Linked DNA regions of Arabidopsis thaliana. The main gene of each other region encodes a partner of the protein of the gene in region 2 in a complex. Each region holds a gene or a part of one and is shown on either strand. Other genes may lie near its edges.

Evidence for each region.
Region 1: DIS2 (region 2) and CRK share a complex: the UniProt entries of both Arabidopsis thaliana proteins name them as parts of the arp2/3 complex.
Region 3: DIS2 (region 2) and AT5G65274 share a complex: the UniProt entries of both Arabidopsis thaliana proteins name them as parts of the arp2/3 complex.
Region 4: DIS2 (region 2) and ARP2 share a complex: the UniProt entries of both Arabidopsis thaliana proteins name them as parts of the arp2/3 complex.

Annotation. Positions count from the first base shown.
Region 1 is NC_003075.7:733,280-740,580, forward strand, and holds CRK (ARP2/3 complex 16 kDa subunit (p16-Arc)), read left to right. Parts: upstream 1-2,373; 5' UTR 2,374-2,496; coding exon 2,497-2,585; intron 2,586-2,667; coding exon 2,668-2,740; intron 2,741-2,810; coding exon 2,811-2,911; intron 2,912-3,035; coding exon 3,036-3,171; 3' UTR 3,172-3,686; downstream 3,687-7,301. Other genes in the region: AT4G01700 (Chitinase family protein), read right to left, coding at 1-208; AT4G01703 (uncharacterized protein), read right to left, coding at 973-1,086. UniProt on the Arabidopsis thaliana protein: Functions as a component of the Arp2/3 complex which is involved in regulation of actin polymerization and together with an activating nucleation-promoting factor (NPF) mediates the formation of branched actin networks.
Region 2 is NC_003070.9:10,957,646-10,966,117, forward strand, and holds DIS2 (Arp2/3 complex, 34 kD subunit p34-Arc), read left to right. Parts: upstream 1-3,262; 5' UTR 3,263-3,460; coding exon 3,461-3,522; intron 3,523-3,712; coding exon 3,713-3,779; intron 3,780-3,872; coding exon 3,873-4,080; intron 4,081-4,175; coding exon 4,176-4,333; intron 4,334-4,436; coding exon 4,437-4,514; intron 4,515-4,592; coding exon 4,593-4,725; intron 4,726-4,821; coding exon 4,822-4,913; intron 4,914-5,039; coding exon 5,040-5,096; intron 5,097-5,166; coding exon 5,167-5,232; intron 5,233-5,318; coding exon 5,319-5,354; 3' UTR 5,355-5,586; downstream 5,587-8,472. UniProt on the Arabidopsis thaliana protein: Functions as actin-binding component of the Arp2/3 complex which is involved in regulation of actin polymerization and together with an activating nucleation-promoting factor (NPF) mediates the formation of branched actin networks.
Region 3 is NC_003076.8:26,082,005-26,088,929, forward strand, and holds AT5G65274 (ARP2/3 complex 16 kDa subunit (p16-Arc)), read left to right. Parts: upstream 1-3,295; coding exon 3,296-3,393; intron 3,394-3,471; coding exon 3,472-3,544; intron 3,545-3,588; exon of another isoform or gene 3,589-3,634; coding exon 3,635-3,735; exon of another isoform or gene 3,736-3,820; coding exon 3,821-3,956; downstream 3,957-6,925. Other genes in the region: AT5G65260 (RNA-binding (RRM/RBD/RNP motifs) family protein), read right to left, coding at 359-429, 639-738, 858-980; RABA4a (RAB GTPase homolog A4A), read left to right, coding at 1,433-1,665, 2,099-2,546; GCL1 (GCR2-like 1), read right to left, coding at 4,125-4,707, 4,790-5,016, 5,175-5,286, 5,592-5,794, 5,889-6,065. UniProt on the Arabidopsis thaliana protein: Functions as a component of the Arp2/3 complex which is involved in regulation of actin polymerization and together with an activating nucleation-promoting factor (NPF) mediates the formation of branched actin networks.
Region 4 is NC_003074.8:9,950,562-9,960,194, reverse strand, and holds ARP2 (actin related protein 2), read left to right. Parts: upstream 1-4,212; 5' UTR 4,213-4,410; coding exon 4,411-4,452; intron 4,453-4,741; coding exon 4,742-4,852; intron 4,853-4,970; coding exon 4,971-5,105; intron 5,106-5,193; coding exon 5,194-5,265; intron 5,266-5,344; coding exon 5,345-5,423; intron 5,424-5,544; coding exon 5,545-5,594; intron 5,595-5,675; coding exon 5,676-5,779; intron 5,780-5,867; coding exon 5,868-5,936; intron 5,937-6,034; coding exon 6,035-6,098; intron 6,099-6,502; coding exon 6,503-6,571; intron 6,572-6,666; coding exon 6,667-6,750; intron 6,751-6,846; coding exon 6,847-6,905; intron 6,906-6,990; coding exon 6,991-7,057; intron 7,058-7,145; coding exon 7,146-7,229; intron 7,230-7,327; coding exon 7,328-7,408; 3' UTR 7,409-7,716; downstream 7,717-9,633. Other genes in the region: TCP20 (TEOSINTE BRANCHED 1, cycloidea, PCF (TCP)-domain family protein 20), read left to right, coding at 1,441-2,385; AT3G26990 (ENTH/VHS family protein), read left to right, coding at 8,638-8,713, 9,097-9,344, 9,493-9,612. UniProt on the Arabidopsis thaliana protein: Functions as ATP-binding component of the Arp2/3 complex which is involved in regulation of actin polymerization and together with an activating nucleation-promoting factor (NPF) mediates the formation of branched actin networks.

The DNA.
Region 1 (7,301 bases), on a different chromosome or scaffold from region 2:
AAGCTTCATAGGGGTAGAAACCTTTTGCAGGGCATGCGTTGTTGTCCTTGTGGATGAAGATTTGGTCGTAGAGAGTTCTTGGGACTAGGCTCATGATCGGTGCGGGTTTATATTTATTGTGTTTTCGAGCTTCGGTTTCATGGAGAGAGGATGATATTGAGAAGATGAAGAGGAGTAGACAGAGCAATAGAGAGATTTGTTTCTCCATATTTGTTCTTTTTTGTGTTTTGTGTGAGAAGATGTGGTTTTGGCTTTGTTGTTATATAGAGTCATAGAGATGTAGTAGTGGACGACTTAGTTACATGTTTTTGTTTTGGTCTACGTTTTGACTTTTTTTAGTGGAGTTTATACTTTTTATTTTATATAGTTGCAATTATTTAAGGGTTTATTCTCTTTTTCATTGTTAGGAGACCCATTCCTCTCCTTCTTCTTTTTTCTCATTTTTTTTCTTTCAAGAAGATTCATTCTTGATTTGGAAAATGCATGACATATATTTCAAACCAGATAAAGTGAACCATTTCAGTCTGAATTCAATTGAATAATGTTAATATGAAGACCAAGTTGAATTTTAATGTGGGGAATTAAGCTTCTTTGGAAGGTACTAACCAAATTCAAATATAAATATATTCTTTGAAAATTTGAAACATAATTCATTATGAAGTAAATATTAAATAAAACAGAAAGTGTTCCATACTGAATTATAGTTTCATTTTGAATACTATTCTATACAAAAATAAAAACAATAAAAAAAAATTGAGAGAAATATTAGCAATGAAAACAAAACTATCAAAGAATTGTTTTTGAAGTTAAAAAATATAAAATTTCAAAGTTCGAGGTCGGTGGCTAACTAACATGAAAAGCGCCGAGCAACTTGTGATATGTACGAGTTGGACCAAGTCGTGACGACTTTTTTAATAAGCTTAAGATCCAATTATTTCTCAAGAAAAACAGTAAAACGTACGCCAACATATATTAACTACGACGACAAAATTCTTGGCCTTTAAGAAAGACTAGTACACGATCAATCCCAACGATTAAACCAGCAGACGAGTAACCATATGTAGGGTACGAGTTTCTCAACCACATCTCCAACTTTTCAGTAGACGATCTAATTATGTTTAACCACTAGAAGCCGACACCATAAACATCCATCCGAGGTTATCGTCTTTCGAAGAGTTCCTAACGAGCATTCATGAAACATCATTCTCACTTCTCCTCCCACTAAACCGACTTTTTTCGGATGTTATTTCAAATTTGGTTAATTGCTAAATGATTGACCATTAATTCGACCACGTGATTACACAAAGAGACGTTTAGATCCACTACATTGGTGCGATGTGAAGTGATCACCATGCTTTAGTTTACACGTCCACTTTATATAGGTTTGGCAGTTAAAAAAAAGAAGTTTTATACATAGTTCTATCAAGTGGTCTTAGACCGAATCTTGGCAATATATTTGTTATAAGACTACCAATATCATTAATGATTAGAGAAAGTTAATGTTAAGTTTCATCAGATTCTAATTTAAAACCAATGGGTAATGATTGGATTGGTTGTGTTCCATATATACTAGTGTTAGCACTTAGCAGTCATGAGTGTGTTTACTCCATTTATAGTATACTTTCGATGTAGGATCCTAATTAGAATGATAAAGAAACATTCCAAAAGAGTATTATCAAAATGCTCTTCGTCTATCCATACAAATATAATGAGATTTGGGCAGAAACAACCATTTTGTTAACATATTAGGGTCGAGCGCAGAAAAAAATATATTTTGACCTGTGTTAATAAAATAGAATAGGTTGCGATTTTAATTAAGGAGGTTAATAAATTAAAATCGTAAAAATGATACCAAAATGGTAACAAAATCGTAAAGAAAAGTTCATTAGTATAAATATAAAAAATTCGGTCCAACAAATATTACTATTAAAAATTTATAAGAGAGATTTATAATAAAAAAAAAATTGTTATACCAAGAAAGAAAAGGAGATTCTTGTATTGTAACCCGTTTGTGTGTCTTTTTTAGTCTCAGATTTGTTTTAATTTTCTATGACTTAGGATTTGTAAGTCTTTTTTGGATTTCTAGAACCTGATCGAGGAAATTTCAATGAATATAGTGTAATTGGTTTGTTTGGATTTTGTTCCCTTTGTTTACCTTGTTTGGTATTTGGCTTCGGGAGTGTTCTTGTACTCATCGGCTTATGTCTCCGGAAGTGGTTTGTACTTGCCGGCTCTTGTATTTCAACTTGAATCCTATCGATGAAAATCCTATTGACAAAAAATGAAAAAAAAAATGAAGCTTCCATCATCCATCATTCAGTGGCAGCATAAGCATTTAAGACTACGTGCCGTTTAAGGCCAAGACAAACGGCACTCAGTTCCCTTTTGAAATGGTCAAATGGCGATTGAGTTGTTTTCCTCTCTCTCTCTCATTTTTTCAATTAAAGAAGGGAAAGAGGGGAAATCTCTGATCGGAGAGAAAGATCGAATCGAAGAATGGCAGAATTCGTTGAAGCTGATAACGCAGAAGCAATAATCGCGAGGATCGAAACCAAATCGAGGAAGATTGAAAGCCTACTCAAACAGTAATATCAGACCTTGGAGCTAAACCCTAAAGTCTTCTTTTGTTTTTGGTTTAATCCCTTATCGGTGTTTTAATGTGTGCAGGTACAAACATGTAGAAGCTTTGAAAACGGCTCTTGAAGGTTCGCCTCCGAAAACTCGCGATGAACGTTGCAAGGTCTCTCTCTTTCCGAAACCATCTTTTTTTTTTTTTTTGATTTACTGAGCCAAAAAAAACTCAACTGCAGTCGGCTAATTGGATAGTTGTGCACAGAGCTTTAATGGCCATTAAGGATATTGACGGAATGCTCAATGCTCTTGATGTCGAATATTACGACATTCTCATGAAGTAAGTGCAAAGTTGGTTTTTTTTTTTTTTGCTGTAATGCGTTTTGTAATATGTATGAATTGGAAAGCTCTATCCTCAGGCTGTCTGTGCTCTTTGATAGAATGTTTTTGCTTAAAATTCTCAGGTACTTGTACAGAGGACTTTCTACTGGGGACCGACCCACCTGCGATCAGTGCCTGAAGATTCACGAGAAACTCACTGAGAGAGCTGGTCTCGGTTGCATTCTCCGATGTCTTACTGATACCATCAACACCGTTTGATCCATCATTCCCTCTTATGTATTATTACTTGATGCCTTGATGTTTCCAATGTGCATATTCTCCTTGAGGAACCATGTCTCACATTTATCAGTTTTAGACTTGTATTTTCATTACCAAACAGTTGCTTGATAAATGATAACACAAGTCATTCCTAGAGCTCATGTGTAACATAATTCCCGGATCAGCTGAATCATAAATACGAAGACCAAGTTGTGATTAAGTAATTTTAGGGGGGTGTATTGAAACCAGAATCTTTTAGAAGATTTGGTGGAATTTGCATTCTTCTACAGACCAAATCCATTCTCGATTTTGCCGGTGAAGAACAGAGACCGAAAGCTTTTTTCATGGAAGACGAGGGGAGGAGGACAATGAGAATATGTCGCAGAGATTTTCTGTGAATCTTTTTTTAAATCAAATCGTTCAGAATAACACCTACAGGTGAGATTTTTTCATGCTTATTTTCAACTAAATTTTTTTGCCTAAGTCTCCCAGAATCAATGTTAAATGTTTTTAATGAAATTGTTTTGTTGAGTTTAGATAACAGTGGATTTAAGATGTGTTTTATAAATTCTTGAATGAATAACAGAAGATTATAGATTCTTTTGAGTGATTTTATATAAATTCCAATTTCAATAACAAAGGATTTGAGAAAAAAATTACAAATCACAAGTTGAATACAACCATTCCTGATTCACTGAATGTTCATAACTCGAAGGCCCAATATCGAACTCAGCCCATTGAAACTAAATTCATTTCTAAACTTTCAATGTAAATGCACTCGTCATACAAGAGTAAATGTTCACATAGTTAGTCATTGATTTAAACAATTTTACTCTTTAGATTTTTAAAATTTTATAGGATTGTAATAAACCAGGTTGAATTCAAATGTCAAATAGCGTTAAATAAAAGTTTAGATCTTTTTTTTTTTTTTTTTTTTTTTTATCAACGTTAGTACAAGAAGAAACAAGAGCAGCTTTTGCCAAAGCATCAGCTTGATCAACGTTTCCTTATAAAAGACAAAAGCAATTAAGTTTTTACTTTTACAGTCTTTTTGATCAAATTAAATGAGTAATTGAGTAGTAGTAGTAACAAAAGGGAATCCCAGAAATAGTAGTTGCTTTCACATGAAAAAATTTCCAAATACAACAATTTTTATTTATTATTTATAGCATCCGGTAGTTCCAGATGAACTCTTGAAAACCTATTTTCAATAAATCTGATGATCCTCTTTTGATATTTCAAAAATATTAAGATATATAACAATATAAAAAAATTGTCAGCTAATTACAAATTGTTTTCTCTAAAATTCAAAATTACCAATAAAAAAAATGATGTCTTTAGAAAGAAATAGATAAGTGTTTTTGTGATAAACGTTTAAATTATTGTTTATGTACTCAGATGTTTTCGGAGATAAAATGGATTATATGGAGTCTGATGTGAATTCAATAACTTACCAAGTATTAGTGCATGGGAGAGCGAATTCCCTTCTTCTTCTTTTTTTACAGATTTACGTGGAAGCAATTTTGAGTGACAAAAAAATAAAATATAAATATAAATATATATATATATATATATATATATATATATATATATATTTGAGCGACCACTGATCACAAACGTTACGTTTTTAAAAAATTCAACCCAATTCGTAACCCTAATTTTTAACCCAAAAAAAATAATCCTAAACCTAATAAGCTATATATTCACTATATCTTTTGTATTTGTTTTATTGGGTGAGAAAACTTGTTCAATTAGTCAGTAATTGGTTTTCGTTCTCACTCACCAAATCCTAATTGTCATGGTTTTGAAAATTATTAAATCTGGAAGTAGAACATATAGCGTCGAGATAAATATGCTACCTCTTATATCCTTTTATGTTCTTGCCTTTTTTTTTTTTTTGGGCATACTCTAGCTAAAACAATTTAAGTTCAAGTTTCAAAATATTTTTATACTGTATGTTTTTTTGAATACCAAAAAATCCAAAAAATATTTGAAAATATCCGCAAATATATAAAAATATCTAAAATATTCAAAAATATCTGAATAAATACTAAATTTCTGAATTGAAAGAACCGAAACCAAATCCGAACTAAACCAAAATTGTTTTGATTTTTATATGGTTCTTTAACTCGAGAACACCGAAATAATCAGAACTAGACTATAATCGAATCAAAACCGAACCGAATACCGAATCGTGCAGTTCGAACGGCACATGTGGCACATGTGCATTTATGAACTAATTATAAATGAAGATCCATGTAGGTGCATCTAAGTTTGATTTTCTTTTTTAGTTTTTCATATAAAACATTGAGTATTGTCTCTTTAAGTTTGGTTTTAGAGAGGAAGGACCGAAAAGAAGAGTATTAAGAACCAAAGAGGTATTTTCCGTAAAATATGATTAAACCTAACATATCAATGACAATTAGATGGTCATTCCTTTGACTTTTGTTAGACCATGTGGACAAAAATGCACACATACAAACATGTTTATATATATTTATATATATTATCATCTTTCATTAGACGTGCATATCGGTGGATTATTTAGTTAATTATATATTTGAGCAGACAAGCTAACTATAATATATATCTATATTCTCCCAGTTGTCCACAAAAAGAAAGAACAAAAAACAAAATTCTCCCATATGATGTCTTAAAAATATACTTTCTCTCATATCATAATTCATATATAATATTTGGCTGATCGCAATTTGAAAACGTTCAAATCGTGTTAGGAGGAAGCAAACTTTGATTTGCTTTATCTAATAACATTTACTATAACGAATTAGTACAAAATTTATAAACTCAACAAAATTAGCCATTCAAAACTCAAAACTGAAGTAAAGACTCACAATTAGGAGCAAACACAAGTTGAAACCAAAATAATTTTGATTTACAACAAATACGTTTATCTTTATACGAACGTGTATACATCTCTACTGTAACAGATATACAGTGCCATAAATATAATTACAAATTGTATTTATACACATGTTGTTGAAAGTTTGTTCTGTTAACTTTTCTTAAACAAAAGAAGAAACATCATGAACCTCAACAAAGAACACTTTGTGAGTAATTAGAGAAATAATATATTTTTAATTAAAGCGACCAAAAGTTAAATATGTTATTTATGTATATATGAGTTTTTTTTTTTTTTTGGTTTAGTTAGTTTTACATTAATCTATTTACTTTAGTTGTATGTTCTCGACTCACTTCATAATCTTAGTACATGTGGAGCTTTTTCCGAATTTTATCAAAAAACAACTCTTGCGATATTAATATAACTAACTGACTAAGTTATAATAACCTAATTCTCACATATTTATTTACGCGCGTGGTTGAGTACACATACGTCGTGATGTGCATAATCAACGAATGATTTCTTAAAAATATATCTACAAAATAACCCCAAAAAAAACTAATTCGGGAGTGAGTGTGAATCTTTGAATGAATTGTGGATATGAATTTAAAGAGGTCGCTCCATTTTCAAAGTCACTACGAAAAAGATTGGCAATTTGATGGCTAAACCCCCTACATGCTGGTCCCATTTAATTTTGGACCTCGTCGCTTCTGCATTATTTTCAAAATAAATACAAAAGTATGTAGTAAAAATATACATATATACTTCAAAAATCCAATCCATATTCTCTCACAATTTTTTTAATTCTTAAACAAATGAATAGAAAATTCGCTACACTACTTTAACTAAATGATGCAAGAACTTATAAATTACTTGTAGGTTCATGATCCAAAGCTGTATAAAGTATAGGAGTACTTAAGATTATCTATTTTCTTAAAACAATACTATATATATATGCATGTGAAGAGAGTAAATATAAGTAGCTATAGGTCAAACTTAATTAATACATCGAGCTAGAATTCCACGATCCCTCACTATAGTTAATTAACAACTACGAGAAAATAGCCGAGGACCGTTTTGCATGATTAAATCCTCTTGTTTGATTTATATTACACAAATATATGAGTAACGTATTTTGTACGTTATACATTGGAAGAATAATATAAATAAATAACTAAAATGAGGAAAAAAAATGGACCATTATTTGGCCTCTTTATTTATTTTTCCTCCCAAACGTGTGGGCAAAGTGTGGGACTAATTTGTAGACTTT
Region 2 (8,472 bases):
TAATTAGATTTGAAGTAATGGTTTATAATAAAATCGAGCCGTGTAAAATTCGCGTTGATGAGTCAATGCATCGTCACGTGAGATCTTTAAGTCTTAACCACTCACTGCGTTACAAGATCTCCAAATCAAACAAAATCTAGTTTAGTTTGCGGTGAAAATGAGATAAACAAAACAAAGGGACCACACTAATCCAATAAAACAAAATTTTTTTTTACTGTTGATAAAACAGGTTCCAAATTATTGTTGCTTCCTAAACGTTTTGCGATTAGTGCATAACAAGTGATTGATATGATTAGTGCTGAACAAAATGTATTTGTCAACAAGATGAAATGATAAAATTATATATCTTTTTGTTACAGTAGTTAAATCATTTAATATATCGACTCTGTTTAATTAGAACTAAACTAAAATGTGAAGGTTTCATTGGTTTCCATTTAAACCTGTGACAATAATCCCATGTAGTATATATGCGATAATGACCACCTACTGCCACACAAATGCAATATATACATACACATGCATACTCTTGCAATAAACTATTTTCGCCACTAATCATGCTGCTGTATTATGATGGTCTGTAAACCAAATTATATAATCATATATTGTCACTTTTACTACCCTTTCGTAGAATTATTTTCTTTTAAGATAATTTGTCCAAAAACATCACGCATGACTCATGATTGCTACATACCTGAGAAAAGCTGAGATATTTATTGCAAAATATTAATATTTGGTACGACTAATTATCTGGCTGAACATGAGTGTACATAGAATATCCACGTTAATGTGGTTCGAACCTAGATTAATAATAGAATGATCAGTACTTGTTGTATATATTATATAGCTAGCCATAAAACGTTACAGAAAGAGCGTATAGAAGATGAAGTAGAGCATCCCGTGATGGGCAAACTAGAAATTCGGTGGTTTCTCCGACATATAATGAGACAAAATAAGGTTCGAAATTAAAGTTAGTCCATGTGATCACTCGGATTCACGTTCATTATACGAATATGAATGAATCTGTTTCAAACATTTAGCACATGCATGTGACATGTGATTTTACTTGGTTTGATAATTTACGTGTTGCATTTTGTAACACAACTCTTAAAACATCTGGGTCAACATATTAGACTATATAGTTGTGTTTATATATGGTCTATCGTCTAGAATTACGGAGCTATTTGTCACGGCCCACAAGTGCAATGAAATGAAATTTAATTCATAAGTTTAGATTATCCACTGGAGTATGTATACTGTCCTACAAGAATCTTTCACTTAATATACATAGAAGTATTTTATATTATATAGACGTATATTAGTCACTTTATTGACGTTTACAGAATATGAAAAAATGATGGGCCTTCGCAATTGTACGTACTCGACAACATGCGTGGCGATGACTCACCTTATCCATATTTGATATTACTTTTTCTAGTACTCCTTGTTTTTACATCACTTTCTGGTAATATTTAATTAGAAATTTAGAACCCTAGACTTTGACACGGTAAATTTTAATAATAATAATATATAGTTGTATTAGAACAGTTAAGAAGTCTCACGAGTTCATAATCAGTTTTGCTTACTAGCTAACTGTATAAATAATTATGCTGGAATCTAACAATTCAAAATTAACTTTGCTTGAGAGTTTTATACCAAACACAAAAGTACAATTTAGTCTAGACTCTAGAAAAGATAAATTCTTATTGCGAAAAATAAAAATTGCAATATATATACAATAGAAGTTTTGGGAGGGATGGTTTGGAAGTTTTAACTATCTCCATGACTCGACATATAAAAATGTAAATATCATTGTTCAGCTAAATGAGCTACCATCGATTAGTTAAAAATAACATTCTTTTACGTCAACCAATCTATGGTTTAGGGGTTAAAATTTTCACTCTCAATATAAGAGGAAAGGTTTAAGTTTTTATCAAAGTTTTCCGGTTATAGAAATAACGTACGTACGACTGTTTTCTTTTTCTGCTTTTTTCAGATTTTCTAAAATCAGTACTTGGTCTTATATATAGATCGATATGCAAATATGCAATGGCGAAGATACGTCCCTAGCGGCTCCTCTTTTGCCAAGACCATGTCACGATCTATCTTACAAACGTTACTCATTTTACTATATCTACTTTTTTCTCCCTAATATAAATATAACTTCGCATATTTATTCATGAATATTTATGCTAAGAAAAGCCATCACATGCATTTATAGTATGTAAGCTTATGTCGATGCAGTAGGACCATATCCGTATATATGTGTGTGCGTATAGATACGTGAGATAGTTTTGCTTTTGAGGCTCCTTCATCTCTCACATCCGTCTGCCCACGATCAATTTCAAAATAGACAATTTTAAAGCTAAAAAATAATAATTTCTTTTTATATGTAGATGTAGCTTTCATATCTAACCTAAAAATATTTGTCGTCAAAGTAAAAAAACTTAATAAGAATATTATTTAAAGAGCTTTAAACTAATATTAACTATAAATCGTTCGTATACTATTGTTCGTTAAATTACATTTAGAGACTATACTAGTCTACTTTAATATCAATAAAAATAAAAACTTCACATGCATATGTTATTTGTCTTTATCCCACTCTGGCCAATTTAAATTTGAAAATATACGTAGACTTATAGATCAAATATCTTATCTTTTCATTGTTGAAAAAACTAATGTAACATTCTAATTAGTTAAATATCTCCACTTACAAAAAGAAAAGAGCCATATCTTATCCAAATTAATCTCTCAATTTTAAAAGCACACATTAAACGGTCAAATTCCAACTTTTGTTAGATTAAAATATTATGAAGACGTCAGATAATACGAAAACATTGCTCCACTAATTTTTGTCGTTTATTTCCATTCAAATAATCATATATCTGGAATCTAAAATATAAAATATCATTTAATTTACGTGCTTATTTTTTTTTTAAAAACCTTCGTCAGATTACAATCAACATAGCCAGGTATAATCAAAAGCCAGAGAAAAAATAATAATACAAATGTTAAAATCTGAAGGAAAAAAAAAAATCTAGAAAACACTACTAGTTTGCCACTGTCAAAACAAACATACAGATATTTGCAACATTAAATATTTTTGAAACGTTTAAGCTCAAATTGTATATTTATGAAATGGGCTCAGCTTATACTACATAGTATTTACATAATTGGGCCTATGGGCCATTTAAATTCATAAAAAATATAAAGTACAGAAATAACGAAACGGCGTCGTTACACTTAGCTGAGTAGCTGAGTAATAAAATTGAACAAATTAGTAAAATTCCAAAAAGTTATCGAAGAAACGTTCAAGCTGTGACAGAGAATCTCGGTCGTCTTCGTTTGTCTCCGACGAGCTCTCTTTCTTCTCCGATTAGATCCCGTGAGAAGAACTCAAAGGCTCTAGGGTTTCTCTGTGATTCAGTTAACTCCTTTAGATATCGTAAGAAAGTAATCGATGATACTATTGCAGTCACATTCAAGGTTTCTTCTTCAAACGCTATTGACGCGAGCTCAAAAGTAAGTGCTTTTCAATTCTTAATTAGGTACACTCTTAGTTTTACCTAATCTACAATAAGACCCATTTTTTATTTTGGTCGATTTGATTTTGATTTTGTGAAGAAATCTGAAACATTTTGGAAGAACTGGGTTTTGTAGAATGGAACCAAAGTTCAATACTTTGCTTGATTTTGTTTATGTTTTGGTTCAGTCTTGATAAAGCAGTGGAGCTAGATTATCAATGGATTGAATTTGATGATGTTCGTTACCATGTTCAGGTGTGAATTTTATACCAACATTTGAGTATTTGACCTCTGAGATCCATATGATCTTGTTCAATGTTCTGAGACTATATGAATTTTGTTTGATAGGTGACAATGAAGAATCCAAATCTGTTGTTGCTTTCGGTTTCGTTACCAAATCCACCACCTGAAGCAATGTCCTTTGATGGACTTCCTTTAGGAGCTATAGAAGCTATTAAAACCACTTACGGGACAGGTTTTCAAATACTTGATCCTCCTAGAGATGGTTTTAGTTTAACCCTCAAGCTCAATTTCTCTAAAGTTCGTCCTGATGAAGGTTTTTAAACGAGTCTCTTTCTCTAATTGATAAGATGTTGTTTTGATTTAGATGTTGGTTTTGTTCTCTAATAGAAAGTATCTATGTTTTGGCAGAGTTATTAACGAAGCTAGCTTCCATTAGAGAAGTGGTGATGGGTGCACCGTTAAAAATCATTTTCAAGCATTTAGCTTCAAGGACGGTTGCTCCTGAGCTGGATAGGCTTGTAGCAATTATGCATAGACCTAACGAGACGTTTTTCCTCGTGCCTCAGGTATATATATACTCTATAGGTCTTTCGTATGTAGCCATTGAAGTAGGTTCTTATGATTAGTAAGAATCTAGAGAGTGATAGAGAACTTAACTGTGTATCACAGGCGGATAAAGTCACTGTGGCATTTCCTATGAGATTTAAAGACTCCGTAGACACGATTCTGGCGACTTCTTTCCTTAAGGTGACAAAATGATCAAAGCTAAATTTTCAAACAGGTTTTGATTTCTGTAGTACTGAAACTTTGGATATAATGATATAGGAATTTGTAGAGGCGAGGCGTGCTGCTGCGCTTAATACTGCTCCTTCTTGTTCTTGGTCTCCAACCGCACCGCAGGAATTAGAGGGAGCTCCTAAAGAAACACTATCCGCTAATGCCGGTTTTGTAACTTTTGGTATGATCTTTCTAAAATATATTCTGTTCGAACTCAATTTGCATTGGTAGTACCAATCTGAAAGAAACTAACTTTGAGATTATCGATATATCGCAGTCATTTTTCCTCGGCATGTGGAAGGGAAAAAGCTCGATCGTACTGTCTGGAATTTATCGACCTTTCATGCTTATGTTAGTTATCACGTCAAGGTTCATATTCTTTATCGAACTTTCATGTTTTCTACTTTCATATTCTCTAAATACCAGAACTTAGTCTCTCTATCTTAGTATGGATTTGTAAAACTGAGTTTTTGTTCGTTTGTTGTTATATCACAGTTCTCAGAGGGATTTATGCACACCAGGATGCGGCGTCGCGTGGAATCTATGATTCAGGTAAAACACCAAACTCATTACATTCGACTTGGATATGCGTTCTTTAGTTAACAAAATCTTGTTGTCTCAGGCTCTGGATCAAGCTAAGCCATTGGAGAAAACAAGATCGATGAACAACAAGTCATTTAAACGGCTAGTAAGTTGCGAAACAATTTGTTTTTCGACAGACTTTTTCTTTGTTTGTTTGCATTGTTTTTGAGCTTTGTTTCCTCTTCCTCACAGGGACTCAACGAGGTCAATCACACCAACTCGAAGTAGTTGGATTTCTCACGAAGCAATTTTGTAAAAACTTGTGATTAGCTGAGACATGTATTTTTTTTACTGGATTAAGTCTCTGTGATATTTATTTTAGTACAATTCTTTCAGATATTTCTATACATCTGATCTTGCTAAATATTTGAACAAATGTATAATGTGAAAATTGTAAGAAACTCACCTTGATATGGACTGTGTCTGGTCTTGATCTAAACATGGTGTTTTCAACAGAAAATAAAGTTTTTGTTTTGTTTTATAATTGTTTTTACAAAAATGAAGAAGATGAATCTTTATTGTTCTTCAGATTCTCAGATAGTCAAATTAAATGAAGTAATATTCGTACCAACAAATAGTCGTAAAAGTTGATTTTCATATAAAAACAAACGTTCAATTTATCCTTATACACAGATGTATCAAAGATTTGTAGTGATCTAGTAAGGTATAAGAAGAAGATTCAAAGGTCGCACGAGTAAATTAACGATTCCTTCGTAGTATACTTTTGAGGCCCATAAATTATGACTGGGCATATATTGTTAGGTTTCATTGTATCAAAAAATGAAATAAAAAGCAATTAACTGGCTTCGCCCGGGTTCGAACCGGAGACCTTCAGTGTGTTAGACTGACGTGATAACCAACTACACCACGAAACCTTTTTGTCTTCTTGATGTTGGTTTAACATATTCTATCTTCCTTACTGATCACCTTCACATTTTCGCAAACCATTGTATAATCTCTCATTAGCTCTAAGGACTAGAATATTGTTTCGAGAATGGATAAAGAAGCTGGAATAGTATTTGATATAAATGATGTTTTATGTCTTGCGTTAAAGAAATTTTGTCTGATTATTTTCGGATATGAAGTTGTATTTCACCAAAATCCTTTTAATACTAGACCATAATATCGATTTGATAACATACGATTTATATACTACGGTAGATTCAGATTATACAATATAGCATACAAACTGTGATAATTTTGCATCATACCGATTACCGTACTACGTTACGTTGTCGTTTTGGTGTTTGTATTATAACAGATTCATTTTTCTAGATAATTATGGTTTGAGTTTTATTATTACTTTTTTGATAATGATTAGCTGGGTATCGAATATCGATTACCAAGATTAGGTTTTGGTTTTGCGTAAATAGTACTCCTCCTTTTGGCTTGGTAAAAAAAACATAAAATTTAAATGTGAGTTTGTGGTAATCCATATAAAGCGTGAGAACTATTTTAAAATTTTAATGAAATCACAACAAGGACACTAGATTTATTTTCGCAAATTTCTCGTATTTATCTTATTATTGGTTTTATTCAGATAAGAGAGATTAGAACTAAAAAATTCTACAAACATGGAACCAAACTACATAAATAAAATAATATAAAAGAATAATGAACTAATTATTTTTAAATTATTGAAATTGTCTCTATTTTTTTTTCTATTTTTTTAATGGTTTCTAAGAAAATTAGAAATCTCTAATTTTTCTTCTATATAAATAAAAATAGAGATAAGTTAAAGTAAAATGAAAGCAAAAATAAAGTATAGAGATGGCTTGGAAATGCTCTTAGAAAGATGAAAGTAGAGTAGCATGATGCTCAGGTAGCGGGCGTGTGAGACACATGTGTTTTCTGCTCCTTTCCAAAAACAGATTAGGGTTTTAGAAACATATCGACATTTTGCCTTACTCGTATTTTTGGCATTTTTGCATTTCTTGCTAGTGTCATGAGGAAACTTCCTTTATTTTATGATTCAACGATATCGTTTTTAGCGGTAAATGACAGAGTGTTTAAGTTATTTGCAGTTCGAGATCTTGCTCGACGTGTCTAAATTCTCATCTATATCGATTTCTATTTCTAGATAGCCTCTCTTCCTCGTACTAGCTCGAGGACATCTAGCATATTTGAGAGATTCATTTATGTTTGTCACTGAGGTTCCTTGATTCAACGTCTGGTTGCTACATCTTTAATCGGTTCTAGTTGCGATTAAAAACAACATCGATTTTTGCATGGTGCTTCCAAACCTTGGTCTCCCACTTTTTCGTATTTTAGATTCAGAAGGAGCGATGGTTTTCTAGTTTCTTTTGTATCCTATTGCTCGTGTGATAGTTCTCTTTGGTTGTTGTAGCGGTTTCTATTGGGTCTTTGGTTAGTTCTAATAGCATATGACTTAAAAGGAGAAATTTCTATCGATGAGTCTCTTTTAGCAGCTTGAAGCTTGTAGAAGAAGATAGTTTTAGACGAATGTTGCCAGATGATACGGGATCTCGACTAGTAGTGTCGGAGTGTCTGAGATCACAATGTTCTCAATTTTGGATGATTCACTTGTTTACAGTTTGATAGTGTCGATTGCTTGCTGAAAGTATGTAAGTTATGACGATATAAGTTTTCGAACGTTATCCTTACACCCCGGATGCTCGTGGCAACTTGAAGCTAATAGGCTTAATTAAATTAAAGTGTTGGAAAAGAAATGGGCTTAAGAGATGGCCTAGCTCACGTTGGAGCTCCGGTGGTTGTCGGGTCTGGTCTTGAAAGGAGGAAACAAGTCACTATGTTCTTCACGTCCCTAAAGAATAGGTCCTCTTCGCTTCCTCAACTCCTTGAGAATATGAGTCGTTGAAGTATCAAGTCACCCACTACCTCCTATATTTCTATTTGACTTGGTTTTGATTTTGTGAAGAAGCAAATTAAAACCTAAGTATCTCAACTCTATATAAGAAGGTTAGGCTTCTAAGTATTTGTGGATCCACTAGCAGATTAACACTTGAACGTTCAAACATCTTTCAAAAGCAAAACATCTCCATCAATCTCTCTCTGTCTTAAAGTAAGTCTCGAGAGTATCGTAGAAACTTGTTCGTTAGAGTTGTGTTTCGAGTGCTGCGAAATCAGTTTATAGAGGTTGTATCCTGGGATCCTTGAATCACACATAAACCGTCACACTACGGGTGAATCTTCGGTTTAATTTTTGTGGTGGGTTTACATGGTAAAACTGTTAATTCTTTCTTCAGTGGCGTCGGGTTTGGTAACTCCTCGGAGGTGGTAAGTTTTTTCTGCGATTCGACTTCCGTTATGATCATTGGCTTGAATTCATGGTCTCATCGGAGATTATCATCGCAAAAGATATCAG
Region 3 (6,925 bases), on a different chromosome or scaffold from region 2:
TTACCATTCAACAATTTCATCTAATAAGAGTTCTCACTGAATAGACAAGAATCCATAGCAACAAAGATGTGACATTACACCAAAAGTCAGAGTAAACTAGTGATATATTCAAGCACTAAATGTAGAGAATGCAATCATGGATCAGGAAGAGAACATAATCAGATAATAGATTTCTACGATAATAATTCTAACACCCTAGATAAAAGGTTTTGTATCAAGAGAGCTAAAAAAGGCACAATTCATAGTCTAATCCAATGAACATTAAGATCAATACGAGTTAAAAACTATGAAAATAAAGCAGAAGCTAGCTAAGATGGCTTAAAGAAAGAAAACGACGCAGAAACATAAATATTCTTACATTGCCAACAAAAACTGATCGAGCATCAACCTCCTCCTTGCCTGCTTGATTCGCTGCAATACTAGCAGGATCTGGAATAACAAAATTGAACCAAAAACTTTAGTCAAGAAGCAAAAAAAAACTCCATATACATAACATAATTCACAGTGGAATTCTAAGATGGATTCAAACACCACCAAGTAGCTACCAATTATCAAAAACCTAGCGAATTGCGGGAAGCACGATGATAATCATATCAAAGAAGCGAGTTATAGCAAAACCAAATCAAAGAGACGAAAACCTTGAGCTCCCATTTCCTTCTCGACCTTAGCCTGCATCTCACGCAGAGCAGCAGCTTCGTCCTCCATCTCTTTCAATCGTTTCTTCATTTCATCCAACTCCTAGAATTACAACAGCAATAACACAACAATCAAACACATATACACGCGATAACAAATCAATCGAGCTCAGTCACATAAAGATGAGCAAAACAGTAAGAGAGAAAGAGATAATAGTAGACCTTAACCGCATCATCATCAGCAGCAGCCATATCCAAATCGGGGTTGAGAGCCTCCATATCTCCATCCATCTCTCCGACGTCTGGAATTTCACCACCGTAAACCTCGTGCTCCTCTTCCTCCATCGTCTCTCTCGCTCTCTCTCCGTCGCGACGTTTGCTTTGTTTTCTTCTGAAAACGCTTAGGTCACTTTTTGTCAATTCGGATAGCGACACGTAATCAACCAAATAACGGCCCTTTATTATAACTTAATGGGCCTAATAAGGCCCAATTTTAAAAGACTTTTTAACATTCGAAATTACCCTATTTGATGACATCATCACCCAAAAACATGCGCCTGACAGAAAGATAATTGTCGAATCCGTCAAATCTCACCGAGCCGGCAGAATCCAACGGTTAATATTTAGACACGTCATCATTAATTAAAAATATTGACTAATAGTTGACAACGACGACAATACGACCGTATCAGATCTCTCTCTGCGTTTAAAACTTCAAAAAAGCTCACTTTTCGGTAAAAGCTTAAAACAGAGGATTTAGCAAGAGAGGATTTAGCGAGAGAGAGACGTTGAAGAAGATGACTAGTGGAGGAGGATACGGAGATCCGTCGCAGAAGATTGATTATGTGTTCAAAGTGGTGTTGATCGGCGATTCCGCGGTTGGGAAATCACAGATACTGGCTCGTTATGCTAGAGACGAATTCAGTTTGGATTCTAAGGCCACCATCGGCGTTGAGTTTCAGACTCGGACGCTTGTTATCGATCACAAGAGTGTTAAGGCTCAGATCTGGGATACCGCCGGCCAAGAACGGTAATCTCCGACCTCTCCCGGAACTTTTAGCTACTTCAATTGCTTGAACTTAGATCTCGTAAGATTTTACTGTTTCTCTAGATCTGGAAGATGATAGGTCTGCTTAGGATTTCGAATTCTAGTAAAGCTTACTGATCTGTATACGAAATTGGGAGGATCTGAAGTAAAATGGTAGAATCATTGAGAATTTGGGATTGGGATTTCAAAATTATGTATAGACTAGAATTATGTATATTACTATTCCAATGTTATTAAGCTTCTATAATTTTATGATTGGTACAAATTTGGACACTTTTGTTATACATTTCCCAGTGATGCTTCATCAACTTTATACATTCACTGATCTTTAATGAGTAAGCTAACCACCACATTTCATGCTTATCATATGCTTACATTGTATATCTTTCTATATGTGTGGTATTGGTTGAAACAGATACAGAGCAGTAACAAGTGCATATTACCGAGGAGCGGTTGGGGCGATGTTGGTGTATGACATAACCAGACGCCAAACCTTTGACCATATCCCAAGATGGTTAGAAGAACTACGTGCTCATGCAGATAAGAACATTGTGATAATCCTTATTGGGAACAAGTCAGATCTTGTGGATCAACGAGCTATACCGACAGAAGATGCGAAAGAATTTGCGGAGAAAGAAGGTTTGTTCTTCTTGGAGACATCTGCATTTAACGCAACCAATGTTGAGAGCGCTTTCTCCACGGTTTTGACTGAGATCTTCAACATTGTGAACAAGAAAAGTCTGGCTGCGAGTGAAGATCAAGAGAATGGTAATCCCGGGTCGCTTGCTGGTAAGAAGATTGATATTGTTCCAGGTCCTGGTCAAGTGATACCAAACAAGAGTAACATGTGTTGTAACTCTTAGATAAACCAATTCAATTCTTGAATGTTACTTGATAACAACAATATATAGATGTTTTAAAGACTCTGATTGGGATATTTCTCCTATCTAGAGCTGTGTGATTCATTTGTTGCTTAATGAGCAGTTTTTGTGGGGTTTTGGGGTGTTGAATCCAAGTATAACAAACCGATCTTAATTTGATCTTAAAAATTGGATATTAATTTGATCAACATGTTTTTATTCTCTCTACATTTGTAAGATTATTGTTACATTTTTGTTAATTACAAATATATACCAGCAATAACAACTTTTCTATTTCTCTTGTTACGTCAATGTGAAAAAGTAAAAATTAAAAACTGAAGCATCCGATTTTAATAATTGGTATCACAGTTCTGATAAATTCTCACTCGGCCGTTTTACCACTCGATTGCTTTATTCTCTCTAATTTCAGGTAATCTTCGAATCCTGCTTGATTCTTCAATCTTGTATGATTTGATCAGAAAGTTCAGGATTACTGATCTGATATGATGTGAGAAATCTGCGTACCATCGGCAATGGATTGTTTTACGTGATTAGAATTGATTTTGTCGTGATTGTTACTTCTCTTTTTAGCTTTTTATGGGGATGACAAGTTTTGCATTGCCTCCTTTGGTTAGTAAACTCAAATCATATGTTTCTTATGCAGCAAGTTGTCGATTTGAATGAAGAAATGAAATTAATTGATTAGGTTTTAGATAATTTTGCTGGAGAGTGTAGAGAAAGAGAGAGATCCAATGGCTGGTGCAGCAGCATTTGTTGAAGCTGATAATGCAGAGGAAATAATGGCAAGGATCGAAACCAAATCGCAGAAGATTGAAAGCTTACTCAAACAGTAATAACCCTAAAGTTCCTTTTTTCTTCCAACTTTCTCAGATGACCTAGGCTATAATTGTTACTTCGTTTTATTCAGCTACAAACATGTCGAAGCTCTTAAAACGGCTCTTGATGGTTCGCCACCTAAAACTCTCGACGAACGTTGCAAGGTCCTACTGTTTCCTCTACCATGCACATAAGTAGTTTGTTCATGATCAAAAAGATTGTGTAATTTATGATAAATATCTGTGAAATTGCAGTCAGCTAATTGGATAGTTGTGCACAGAGCTATCATGGCGATAAAGGATATCGAAGGAATGTTAAATTCTCTTACTGCCGAGTATTACGACATTCTCATGAAGTAAGTCTCTTGCCTTTTGCTCTGCTAGCTTTTAATTAGCGTGATGTGGAAGCAGTGTTTTGTTTGCTTAAATGGTGTGGATCAGGTACTTGTACAGAGGTCTTTCGACTGGTGACGAACCCACATGCGAACAGTGTTTGATGATTCACGAGAAACTAACAGAGAGAGCTGGTCTCGGTTGCATTCTCCGTTGTCTGAGTGATACTACCAATACCGTTTAAACCATTAAGCTGATCTTTTCATGTTACTTTTATTCTTGTTTTCTATGAATGTTTCTCCCAAATCTCAAGTTACTTCAATAGATTATAGAAAGTGGAATAAACCGGAGAACCTAAGATCCTTTCACAAAGAGATAGTCATAAAAGAACCTACGGTTACCTGGTTTTAAATTATATCTCATAACCAGGAAACTTAGAATCTACCGGCGACACAAGATCGAACCAGAGGCATACTGGTCCAGCTAGTCCCCGGAATAGCGAATAATCATGTTCTGTTTCTTGGCTTGTCATATTCACGAGCTCTATCGCATCACGGCACAAGTAACTCGCAAACGCTTTTGCTCTCTCTTCATATACAACATCTCCGGTTAAGCGATAAAGGGATAAGAAAGCGTAGGCATTACCAGCAACTCCATCAGCTAAACCTACCTTCTTCACCAAGCCACTCTTCCACACTACTTCTCCTGCTTCAATGGCTGCTTCGCGGAAATCCCTTTCCTTGGGAAACACCTGAGATGCTTTAGCCAAAGTAATGGCCATGCCGGTTGCTCCATGAGCCCATTGGACTAGCTTATCCCTCGGATTCCCTTCGCTGCACGGGTAGTTTCCGCTGTTCGGAAACCTATTACTCATCATATACCTCAATGTCCCTTGAACATCTTTAACATCCTCTTCCGATAGTGGAAAATGCAGCAATACATACAAGATTCCAGCTAATCCATTCGCAGCACCCCAAAATCGCGTTCCGTGAAACCTAAAAGCCACAAAAGTAAGATCAATTCCTACTAAAGATAAACAGGATTCTCTTTTAACAAACTATAGCTATTTTGTGAAACCTGTATAACAGAGGACAAGCTTCATGATCTGCAGCTCCAACTCGCCCACCGGCTAAGATGGCTGCAACAATGGGTGATAAGAGATGGTCAGGAACAGTTCCTTGGCCGAGATATCGGTTTAGGAACAGAGCAGCCCAAAGGAAACCCGCTCTTCCATAGAGAAGGTCATATGACATCCCAAATCCTCCTTCCTCTGGTCCTGCTGGTAACTCTCTCTCTTCTGCAAGCTGCTTGTAAGAATAACAAATCTTAAAGGCTCGTCACTTCACTAATCTTGCTTAAGGGTTAATATATGACACGTTGGATCAAAATACTGAATCTATAGCTTTTATCTGAAAGTGTTGTAAGCAAAAGAAATGGTGTATGAAGTCAAAAAGATTGGAACCTCAAGAAAAAGACCGAGGAAGAAGTCACGCTTTGATTGGTCCCCTCTGTAATTGGCTACAATTGCACCAAGCGTACAAACTCCTCCTCTTCCACATAAAAATGTCACGTGCCTATTCATGAGCATAACAAGTCCAATAATTTGTTAGAAAATGACAAGTCCATTCTAATGGGTGTGTAGATATTGTTATTATTCCAGAACCTGAAAATTCGTTCATACATACATAATTTTCTATAAACTATAATTGGTTAAACAGTGACATCTTTGTAATGACTCAATCTCACACATGTGTTTTCTATCAGACAGATTTTAATTAAGAATATTCTTTAAAATGGTTAGATTCCATTTTTTTTTTTTATGGAAGATGATATTTGATGTTTACTTGGCTAAGCAACTTAGTGACGAAGATATTTTCACCTGGTTGTGGCACGCGCAACGTTGGCACACGTGTCGATTATCTCTGCGCAAGTTAGCAGATCTTGATGGTTCCGCGTTACCTCGTACGACTTCAAGCAGGTGAACGCTGTGCCGAGTAGTCCTGTGTACACAGTCGGATCCAGCACTGGACCCGAACCAGAGGCAAGAGCTTCGACACCACCTTTCCACGTGGCCTCCACAACCTATACATACATCGACCAAAAAACATATATGAGCGAACGTACGGACTAGGCTTACATTAGCCGTCTGGGGCGTCGCATAGTTATCGTAACGCACCTGGTTCTTGAGTAACGTCGCTGCTCTGAGGAAAGATTCCGTAGGGAGAGAAATAGTCGGAGCCGACGGTTCGGAAAGCAAATGATCAATTTCGCCATTCTTTACTGTCTCTCCGGCGCCGTTACCATCGTCGCCGCATCTCCCCTGTTCCGTCACGAAATCCACCGACGACGACATAGCTCTCGCCTTTGTGTCTCTGTCTTACTCTTGATCTTGATTGATATCTTGAAGAAAGAATCAAATACGGGAGTTATATTTATTTGTAGTTTTTATAACAGCCGCTATTTATATAGTTTCTGTTTTTTTATTTATCTTTATTTATTTTAGTTCTATTAGACCAAATAAAATTACTGTAATGGATTTTTCTTCTTTTAAAAGAAATTTGTGAATCACCTTTTAGTTTAGTTTTGGTATAAAATATTTTAGTAATTTATTTGGATTAATTCAGTAGTTAATAAATATGTTAGGTACTTGAGTATGATTTTTAGCAGTTCCACACGTGTTTTCGTAATTTTGTGCATTTGGGTATAGGACCTACCAGTCTTTAAAATAATGACTTAAGCATCTTGGAAAATAAATGTGATGCTTCTATTAAAGTATCAAGAAACAAAGGAAAAGCTGAAAGTGGGGTTTAGGGTATTGGATTCTGGTTGCAGGACATGACCGTAATACACGTGAACCGGTAGACAGAGCCTAAACGTGTCAGCATCTTGTCGGCTCTATCATTTTTACGAATCGATTTGCCGTTAGATCTGGCTTAGGGGATATGGCATGGACTACGAACGCTCGATGTTATATACCTTTATAAATAAGGAATAAAAAAGTGCAGAGATTTGAGAATCTCATACTATATCAGACGATTAAAAAACTAATCGAATATGTAATGTTTTAGTTGATAAACGGATCAATTAGTTATATTTTTAAAATAGGTGAGTGTGAACGCGTCGAAATGTGTTTCTTGTCAATTTACGAATTATACATTTGGTTAGATAGTCACTTATTGAACATGAATCAGTGTATTAGCTGCTGACCTGTAA
Region 4 (9,633 bases), on a different chromosome or scaffold from region 2:
AAAGTTGCAAAAACTGAATGTTTTAACTATTATAATTCTATAAACTTTTTTTTATTTCTTTTGAACAAATGAACTGTAAATGTTGACACACAATTACTAAAGCAGGAAATCAATCGACGACGACTGGACATGTGTTAGTGTATGATATTTAAACGTGATTATGGGCGTCATTAATATAAGACTAATGCCTTTAAGTAAAGCTAGAGAGTAGTTAACTCATTAAGATTAATTGAAGTCTAAGACTTATGAGTAGTTATGATGAAATGAGTAAAAAAAAAAGAGAGATGGTATAATGTTGTCGGTCCATAAATGATGAAACTCTCAAACTCATTCAATACCTTTAGATCTTGCCCTACAAGCGAACCAAACCCTGTGTGGACCGGCTAATTGTCAACATGTCATTGGTCCACTTGATGGACTAGCTAAAAGTACTTCCTTCTTAGGGAAGACGTTGACTTTGACTACTGTTGTAGTTTTTTTTTTTTTTTTCGTTTAGGACAGAATGAGAGATATATACGAAGCAACAATGTATTCAATAGTACTTACTCTTTTTCTAAAATATTGATTTTCTGAAAAAAAATTATGTTCTAAAGGGATTAATTTTCTACACATTGTAATTATTTAATAATAATAATTTACAAACTTTAAAAAGTAATTATTGAGATTTTTTTGAATATATCAACTGTTATTGGATTGTTACCATCAGGCTAAAGCACGATCTTTAAAATGTGTTGCAGCAAGAGGAACTCTCATCTCATGAGGGACATTTTTGAATGTTAACAACTCTTCCGTCGTGCTAATCCAATCTAGGAACTCTTCTGTTTGTAAAGTACCATAAAATTCAGGTAAATCTAACTTGAAACCTGATTTCCACATATAATTATGCCCCATGTAAAAATAGATTTTAGATCCGTCACTGTGTATCTAGTGGGAAATGAAGTGGCAGTTGTTAGACTCTCAATTACCTTTGGATTAAATGTGAAAGTGAAACGGTCACACTACTTTTTCTTTTATGTGTCGTTTTGTTACTTTGCTGTTTATGGTCTTAAAAATTGCATTGTTTGGTGAGAAACCTATGAGACTCACTCACTCGCTATCTCTCTCTGTTATTTAAAGTACCAAACCAAAAAGTAAACAAGAATAAAAAAGAAAAAGACAAAACTAAAGTCTCATACTTTTAAAGTGTTTTCTCATTTCTTTTTTGACCAATTTCGAGATCAAAAGAAACATTTTTTCTTTATTCTCCTCAAATTCTACATCGGGATCTTACTGGGTTTTTTTTTAAACATTAAATTCGTAAATTCCCAAAGAAAAAAAAAAAAACTCGATACCTTTTGTTTTACAAAGTCGTCACAATTCTGAAACCCTTAATTGAATCCAAGAGAATTTTTGATTAAATTAAGTCTCTGGACCCTGAAGTCCCCACACAAGCAAGCTTCGATGGATCCCAAGAACCTAAATCGTCACCAAGTACCAAATTTCTTGAACCCACCACCACCACCGCGAAATCAGGGTTTGGTAGATGATGATGCTGCTTCTGCTGTTGTTTCCGACGAGAATCGCAAACCAACAACTGAGATTAAAGATTTCCAGATCGTGGTCTCTGCTTCCGACAAAGAACCAAACAAGAAGAGTCAGAATCAGAACCAGCTTGGTCCTAAGAGAAGCTCTAACAAAGACAGACACACTAAAGTCGAAGGTAGAGGTCGACGAATTCGGATGCCTGCTCTTTGTGCTGCTAGGATTTTTCAATTGACTAGAGAATTGGGTCATAAATCTGATGGTGAAACTATCCAGTGGCTGCTTCAACAAGCTGAGCCATCGATTATTGCAGCTACTGGTTCAGGAACTATACCGGCCTCTGCTTTAGCTTCTTCAGCTGCAACCTCTAACCATCATCAAGGTGGGTCTCTTACTGCTGGTTTAATGATCAGTCATGACTTAGATGGTGGGTCTAGTAGTAGTGGTAGACCATTAAATTGGGGGATTGGTGGCGGTGAAGGAGTTTCTAGGTCAAGTTTACCAACTGGGTTATGGCCAAATGTAGCTGGGTTTGGTTCTGGTGTGCCAACCACTGGTTTAATGAGTGAAGGAGCTGGTTATAGAATTGGGTTTCCTGGTTTTGATTTTCCTGGTGTTGGTCATATGAGTTTTGCATCTATTTTGGGTGGGAATCATAATCAGATGCCTGGACTTGAGTTAGGCTTGTCTCAAGAAGGGAATGTTGGTGTTTTGAATCCTCAGTCTTTTACTCAGATTTATCAACAGATGGGTCAGGCTCAGGCTCAAGCTCAAGGTAGGGTTCTTCACCATATGCATCATAACCATGAAGAACATCAGCAAGAGAGTGGTGAGAAAGATGATTCTCAAGGCTCAGGTCGTTAAAAGGATTGGGTTTTTTTTTGTATCTTCTGGATTTGAAAAAGCTTTTGGCTTTTGTTTTGTGATAATATTGTTGTAATTTGTACCACCATGGAGAAGAAAAAGAAAAGGTTATATACTGAGTGAGAGTGATAATCTATACTTATTGAAACCTCTGCAAAAACACAAGGTGAGTTCAATTTGAGGATGATGATACAAGAGAGTGGAATCTTCAAACCTTTTTTTCCGAGTGTTTGTGACAATTTTTTGGCAGTTGTTGTTTGAACTTGCAGGTGGAGTTTGTTGAATACACACAGCCAGAGATTTTTTTGTTTGGAGTCTTTAAGTTGCAGAGAGGCTTGTTTTTACTTGTTCTGAGTTTTGTTGCTTTTGAATATCAAGAAACCGGCTTTTTTCAGATAGTACAACAATGGTAATGTATACTTGTCTTCCATCACATATTTGTAGAATGAAGATTTATAGCTCTCTTTTGCTCAGTATTCTTCTATTGCATCTCCAAAGATTGTTCTCTTTCGTTCGATCTCTCTGAATGAGTTAAAGACTTTCGTTTAGAGTCGAGTGTAAAACACTTCGCTGCATGTTCTGATTCAGTGGCTTTGAGCTGCAATGGATTTCACAATGATGGTAACGTTGTATTCTTTAACTCTTACTTACATTCATGTTATTGCCCTGAGTGTGCCGTTAACTGTGGGAAGGTTTTGAACTAGGTACAAACCCTTCGCAGTTGGGAACCAAATAAGCTGGTATTGCATTTACTCTTTGCCTTGCAAGCTTTTTCAAAGATAAGTATAAATTGTTCAACGAGTCAAAAAGTTTATATCATTTTACTCATTTTGACTTGAATTTGACGGAACTAAGGAAAGAGACTAAGAGAGAGAGAGAGAGAGAGGTTAACGAGTCAAAAAGTTGCTTGATCTCTATGATTTGTCCAACCAATCAAAACAAGTGAAGAAAATTCAAAAACATTCACAAAGCTCTCTCTTTCCCTTTTGAGCAATGATCTAACTCAACACTATGGTCCAAATACAACTCCAATAGATCCATTCCAAAGCCTCCCTCATGATGAGAGCGTGACTTAAGTTGCTTACTCTTTTAATTTCCATTCTCTTCGACACATTGGGCAAGGAGCTTGACTTGTCTACGAATTCTTCCATTTCAATATACAGAAGTGAAGATGAAACGCGTGGTTACTTTGAGGTCTAAGACATGCAGTTTTGTTCTTACCAGAACTAAATAAAGCAGCTTAGCAATGTTCCAGTAAGCATGAGAGACAGTGTGTGTCCTAATTAACCTATATAAAAGTGAAAACATGAAAGCTGATTTTACATCGAACAAGTCATTGGACTTGTGTGTGTGAAACTGTAAAAGTCTTATCTTATTTTTACTATATTGGTGACTGATACATAACATGTTGTGACAGGAACTTAATTTACAACATGTTATGTAGAATAAATTTTAGTATTGAGACAACATAGAGACAACAAAAAAACCTAGAAGAAGATTGATATCCCAACTTCGTACCAAAACCCTAGTAACATCTTTCTCGTAACATAACCCTAATAGTGATTGAAATCTCTGATCAAGGGATTGCATGATGATCATTTACTAATTCTTAGTTTAGATCATCTAGAAGATTGTTATACAAGTAAACAGAATTATCTGTTTGACCTAATATGGGCCTGAGATAGCCCATCAATACCCACAACCAAGTTAACTCCATCTCAATAATTCGAGAAAAGGGGTAACGTATTTAATAATTTTTTCTATGTATTGACCGTTTGCACTACGTGACGTTTTCACGTAGAGTAAACGACGCGCATTCTTATAAAGAAACGAGGAAACAGCTGCTTTTTGTTTGTCGAAGAGCAAATATGTTTTCTCGATCGCGACCAAACAAGTAGAGAAGAGTGATTCTTCGCTTCGATTCAAAGACAGGTTTTTTCTTTTGTTCCCTGAGAGATCGAATCGAAGAAATCGAAATTTTTGTACTTCGATAAAAATCTGTAGTCTCTATAGAAATCGGAGAAGATGGACAACAAAAACGTCGTCGTTTGCGACAACGGCACCGGTGTAAGCTTCTTCTCTCTGATATCTCTTGTTTCAGACTCCGAACTTTAGTTGAATCTGATCAATCATTCCATTCCTATCTGGGTTTCGTTAAAAATCTCACTTTTGAGTTTGTTTAGGATCTAGTTGTCTTAAAGTTGCAAAATTTGAAAACTTTCATGTCTTAGCATAGTGTAAGATCGTGTTTCTATTGAAATCAAAACTAATACATGAGAAATCTCATAATGGGTTGCTTAAGTTTTGAGTTTCTTGTGATGGGAACAAATTGTGAGCCTCTTATTAAATTTTTCAGTATGTAAAATGTGGATTTGCTGGAGAGAATTTCCCAACGTCTGTTTTCCCCTGTGTCGTGGGAAGGCCATTGCTTCGGTATGAAGAATCACTCATGGAGCAACAAGTCAAGGTTTGTAGATATGTGACTTTAAATAAGCAAAACCAGATCATTGTTAGCCTTTTGAGTTTTGACTGAGCTGATATGCGTAATTCGGATTCATATACGTTTTGGTTTTGTTTCATTTTAGGATATAGTTGTTGGGGAGACTTGCTCTGAGCTCCGGCATCAATTGGATATAAATTATCCTGTCCACAATGGTATTGTGCAGAATTGGGATGATATGGAACATGTTTGGGATCATGCTTTCTATAACGAATTGAAAGTAAGTTTCTTCTCCTGCTTCTTCTTGCCATTTTTGTCTCGGTTCCATGTGTCTTGACTTACTCTTAAACCCTTTTTGTTATTAACAGATCAATCCATCTGACTGTAAGATATTGCTCACGGATCCACCTCTTAATCCGTCCAAGAATCGTGAAAAAATGGTAAGATATTATCAAGTCTTTGGTTAAGAGTTGCTTTGATGGTTGTTGGAGCAGTGATTTATTTTATGTTATAAAACAGATTGAGACAATGTTTGAGAAATACAATTTCGCTGGCGTTTTCATTCAAATCCAAGCCGTTTTGACTCTCTATGCTCAAGGTGCTTATGGAGACTATTGAAGGTTTAGATTTTCTTTCGTGTGTTTAGATAGTCACCTGTAAATAGCATTTATGTGTGCTTCCCTGATATTTTTCTTCATGTGTTGAACTCTTGGTTTCAGGTTTGCTAACTGGTTTGGTTATTGATTCTGGTGATGGTGTTACTCATGTGGTAAGCTATAAACCTCTGTAATTTTTTAGATCATATATTGCTTATAATAGAGAAGTTAACCGTCTTCGCCTCACATCTTAGGTTCCGGTGGTTGACGGCTACTCGTTCCCTCATCTTACTAAAAGAATGAATGTTGCTGGCAGACACATAACAGCATATCTCGTTGATCTACTATCTCGACGAGGGTGAGAAACTGATTCATAGACTCACATTCATTTTAATGATGTTGAGATGTTTTAAATTAGCTAAACTAAAAGACTGTTTGTTCAACAGATATGCGATGAACAAAACAGCTGACTTTGAGACGGTTAGGGAAATTAAAGAGAAGCTCTGCTATATAAGGCATGCAAAGACCTCTTCTCAGCTTTCCTCTAATATCTGTGTAGTAATGCATTACTAGAATAGGAAATAAACACAATTTGTTTTGTCTTTTTTTGCAGTTATGATTACAAGAGAGAATCTCAGCTTGGCCTTGAGACAACTATCCTTGTTAAGAATTATACTGTAAGTCTCTCTCCTGGTATGAACCTGTCAGGTGTGTGAATTTTCAAGGTTTCGATGGCAAATAGAGGCAAGAAACAGAAACTAGTGTACGTTAAGCTAATAGGAATCCAAACTCATGATCAGAACTAAATAGATAGCAGATTCTTGGCGAACTTGAGCCTGTAGAGAACTTTAAAGATTCGTGCCATCATTCCTTTGTTCTTTTTGGTAATGAAAGAATGATATTATCATCTTTTCTTTTCATGACATCGTTTCTCTGTTCTTGGGCGCTGTGTTTGGGATTTTTCATCCGATAGTCGATAAAGTTTCATACTTGTGCCAGTTGCAGCCTCTAAAGCTGATATTATCACCAAATTATTTTTTTTCCAGAGTACTAACCCGTTGTGTTTTTGAACTGTGATCAGCTTCCAGATGGGAGGGTTATCAAAGTAGGCACTGAAAGATTCCAAGCACCTGAAGCGCTTTTTACTCCGGTAAACCTTCATCGCGTCCTCTGCTAATTTCTCTTTTGGAATAGTTTCAACCCTCCAAGAATCTCGAGGCTGATCACAACCAAATATTTTTTCAGGAACTCATTGATGTTGAAGGTGATGGAATGGCAGACATGGTTTTCCGATGTATTCAAGAAATGGATATTGATAACCGCATGATGGTTCGTGTGACTCTTACGCTTGCTTGGTATTTCAAAAGAAAGATCCAACAAAACTAATCATTTATCTGTCTTAAACCCTTTGCTCTTTTTTCACAGCTCTACCAACACATAGTTTTAAGCGGAGGTAGCACCATGTACCCAGGATTACCTAGCCGGTTCGTATATTTTTTCTTCATCATAACCCAGCAAGAAGTTCCATTGTTTTATGTTTCATTGTCTTTTATTCTCTGTTTGTTTCAGTCTTGAGAAAGAAATACAGGATCGGTATCTCGACACAGTTCTAAAAGGAAACAAAGATGGCTTGAAGGTAAAAAAGATGATTCTGATAATGCCATGATCACTGTCAGTCATTAGCTCAGTTTTTAACATTTATCTTCGTTTTTCTTATCAATCAGAAACTCAGATTGCGGATCGAAGATCCACCGAGAAGGAAACACATGGTATACCTCGGAGGTGCTGTTCTTGCAGGAATCATGAAGGTAAGAGAAAAGTTCAATGCTATTCTCTCTTTTAACACGAAAGCATGAAATTTTAGTCTGTGTTATGATGTTAAGAGAATTTGGATTCGATGTTGCAGGACGCACCAGAGTTCTGGATCAATAGAGAGGACTATATGGAAGAAGGAATTAATTGTTTGAATAAAATGAGCCAAGCTTAATAACTTTCAAACGCAGAACTCATACTTGTACTTGTACCCCTTTTTTTTACTACCGTCAGGATGATTTAATTCCGTTTGTGAATTCAGTATTTTAGGTTTCAAAGTTTGAGTACAATTGGTTGCAGTTAGGGATCCAAAATTCGACATGTGATTGGTGGGATATACAGAAAAACGTGTATTAACTAATAATGTTGAGACTAATATATTGTGTAATAACCAAAGCCAAAAGGTCGAGAAGAGACGAAATGCATATATCTTAATTCTTGAGTAAGCAAACAGAGTCAAAACAGTGAAAGATTATTTGTAATTTTGAAAAGGAACCCTATTTCTTGCCACACAAGGTAGATCCCTATTGTTTTCTGTTAAAACCCAAAAGATTGCCACAACTCTGAATTGATGGAACCAGCTTCCTTCTACTGCATGTTCTGCAGCTAGTCTAAGTACAGCAGCTTCAAGCTAGATCAAAGACAAAATGATTACCTAACCTGCCATGAGTAAAAAAGGATTTGAAAACTTTTAAATTAACTAGAAACAAAAAAAACTGATTTACAATCCCAAAATAAAAAACTGTAAAAACTTTTTGAGGTCTTAATATGGGCTTTGGCCCAATAACGGCAACACCGTGTCAGAAACGTTGGTGTTGGTGACTGTTAAACTACCTCAACGACATATAAAACATTATGAGCGTTGGCCCAATAAAGAGATATAGGCCCATAAAGTTATAGAGAAATCACCCGGTGGTTCATCCAAATCTAACCACGACGAAGATTATTTCCAAACTGCTCAAACTTCTCCGGCGAGTTTTGGAGACATTATCGGAAAACGGCGCCATTTTATTAACCGTGATTTTCGTTGGCTCCTTCACTGCTAATTGTTAGCATCATCGCAACAATCTCCTTCTTCTGATTGATTCTCTCTGTAATTTCCTCTTCGCGCTTGTTTTTTCCGTATTTGCTTTCTACTGAAATTGGTCTCTGGTTATCTCTCGTAGATTAGGGTTTATACAAGCTTTGATGTCTAAAGCCACTAACTAGTTTTGTTTATGCACGTACTTGTCCTATTGTCTAGTTCTCGCTTCGTCTTACGAGTTCCTTGTCAGAAAGCTTGACCCTTTTTGTTTTCTTTTCCATTGCTTTGATTGATGACTCTTAGGGTTTTTGACTTGTATCTTCTTTGTTTCTCTATAGATTTTGTGAAGGCACACTGGTTTTTGAGCTGGTGTTGAAGCAATGGGTAGTTCATTTAACGCTCAGATATTAGTTGAGAAGCTTGCCAAGCTCAACAATTCTCAAGCAAGCATAGAGAGTATCCTCTTCTGTATATCATAATTTGGTTGTAGTAAAGCTCTGTAATTTCATTGTTTAAGTACTTAAATAGGTGCTTGGAAAAGACTATACAGAATTGGTATCTAAGTTAATGAGTAACAATGGTATAAGATGAAAGTATTGGTATCTCTTCTCAAGCAGAATATATCTAAATTCCTCAGGATTTTCTTTTACTTGAGCTGTAGTTTATACCAATTTTGAGTTTCAGTGATATTGGTGTCTGATATACACGGATAATTTTCTCAACTCTCCCAACTTGCTTTTATTGTAAATTAGTTTCCCTTTGATTAGTCTCATGTGATGTGTTGTTTTTCTCTCGCCTTGTATACTATTATGGTGTATGTTTTCCTTGACGTTATACAGCTTTATCACATTGGTGTATCTTTCACATGAACAAAGCAAAACATGTTGTAGAAACATGGGGTAGGCAGTTTCACTGTGCCCCACGTGAGCAACGTTTGGCATACTTGTACCTCGCGAATGATATCTTGCAGAATAGCAGGCGAAAGGGTTCGGAGTTTGTAGGTGAGTTCTGGAAAGTACTCCCTGATGCTCTTCGTGATATGATTGAAAATGGTGATGACTTTGGAAGAAAATCCGCACGCCGATTGGTACGTGAAGTTAACTTTTTATCTACCACTCTCTCTGAATTTCTCTTTGTTTGAGATTTTAGAGAACATAGAAATGCCACTTATTGATGTGATTTAAAGAATTTGACAAGAAAACTGCATTGCTAATTATCGTAATTATTTCTTCAAGGTTAATATATGGGAAGAAAGGAAAGTTTTTGGATCCCGTGGACAAATTCTCAAAGAAGAACTTCTGGGAAGACAGCCTGAAAATGGAACCAGAAACGGAAATCTCGTGCCACTTAAGCTTGTAAGTCAGAGTTTGTTGTAC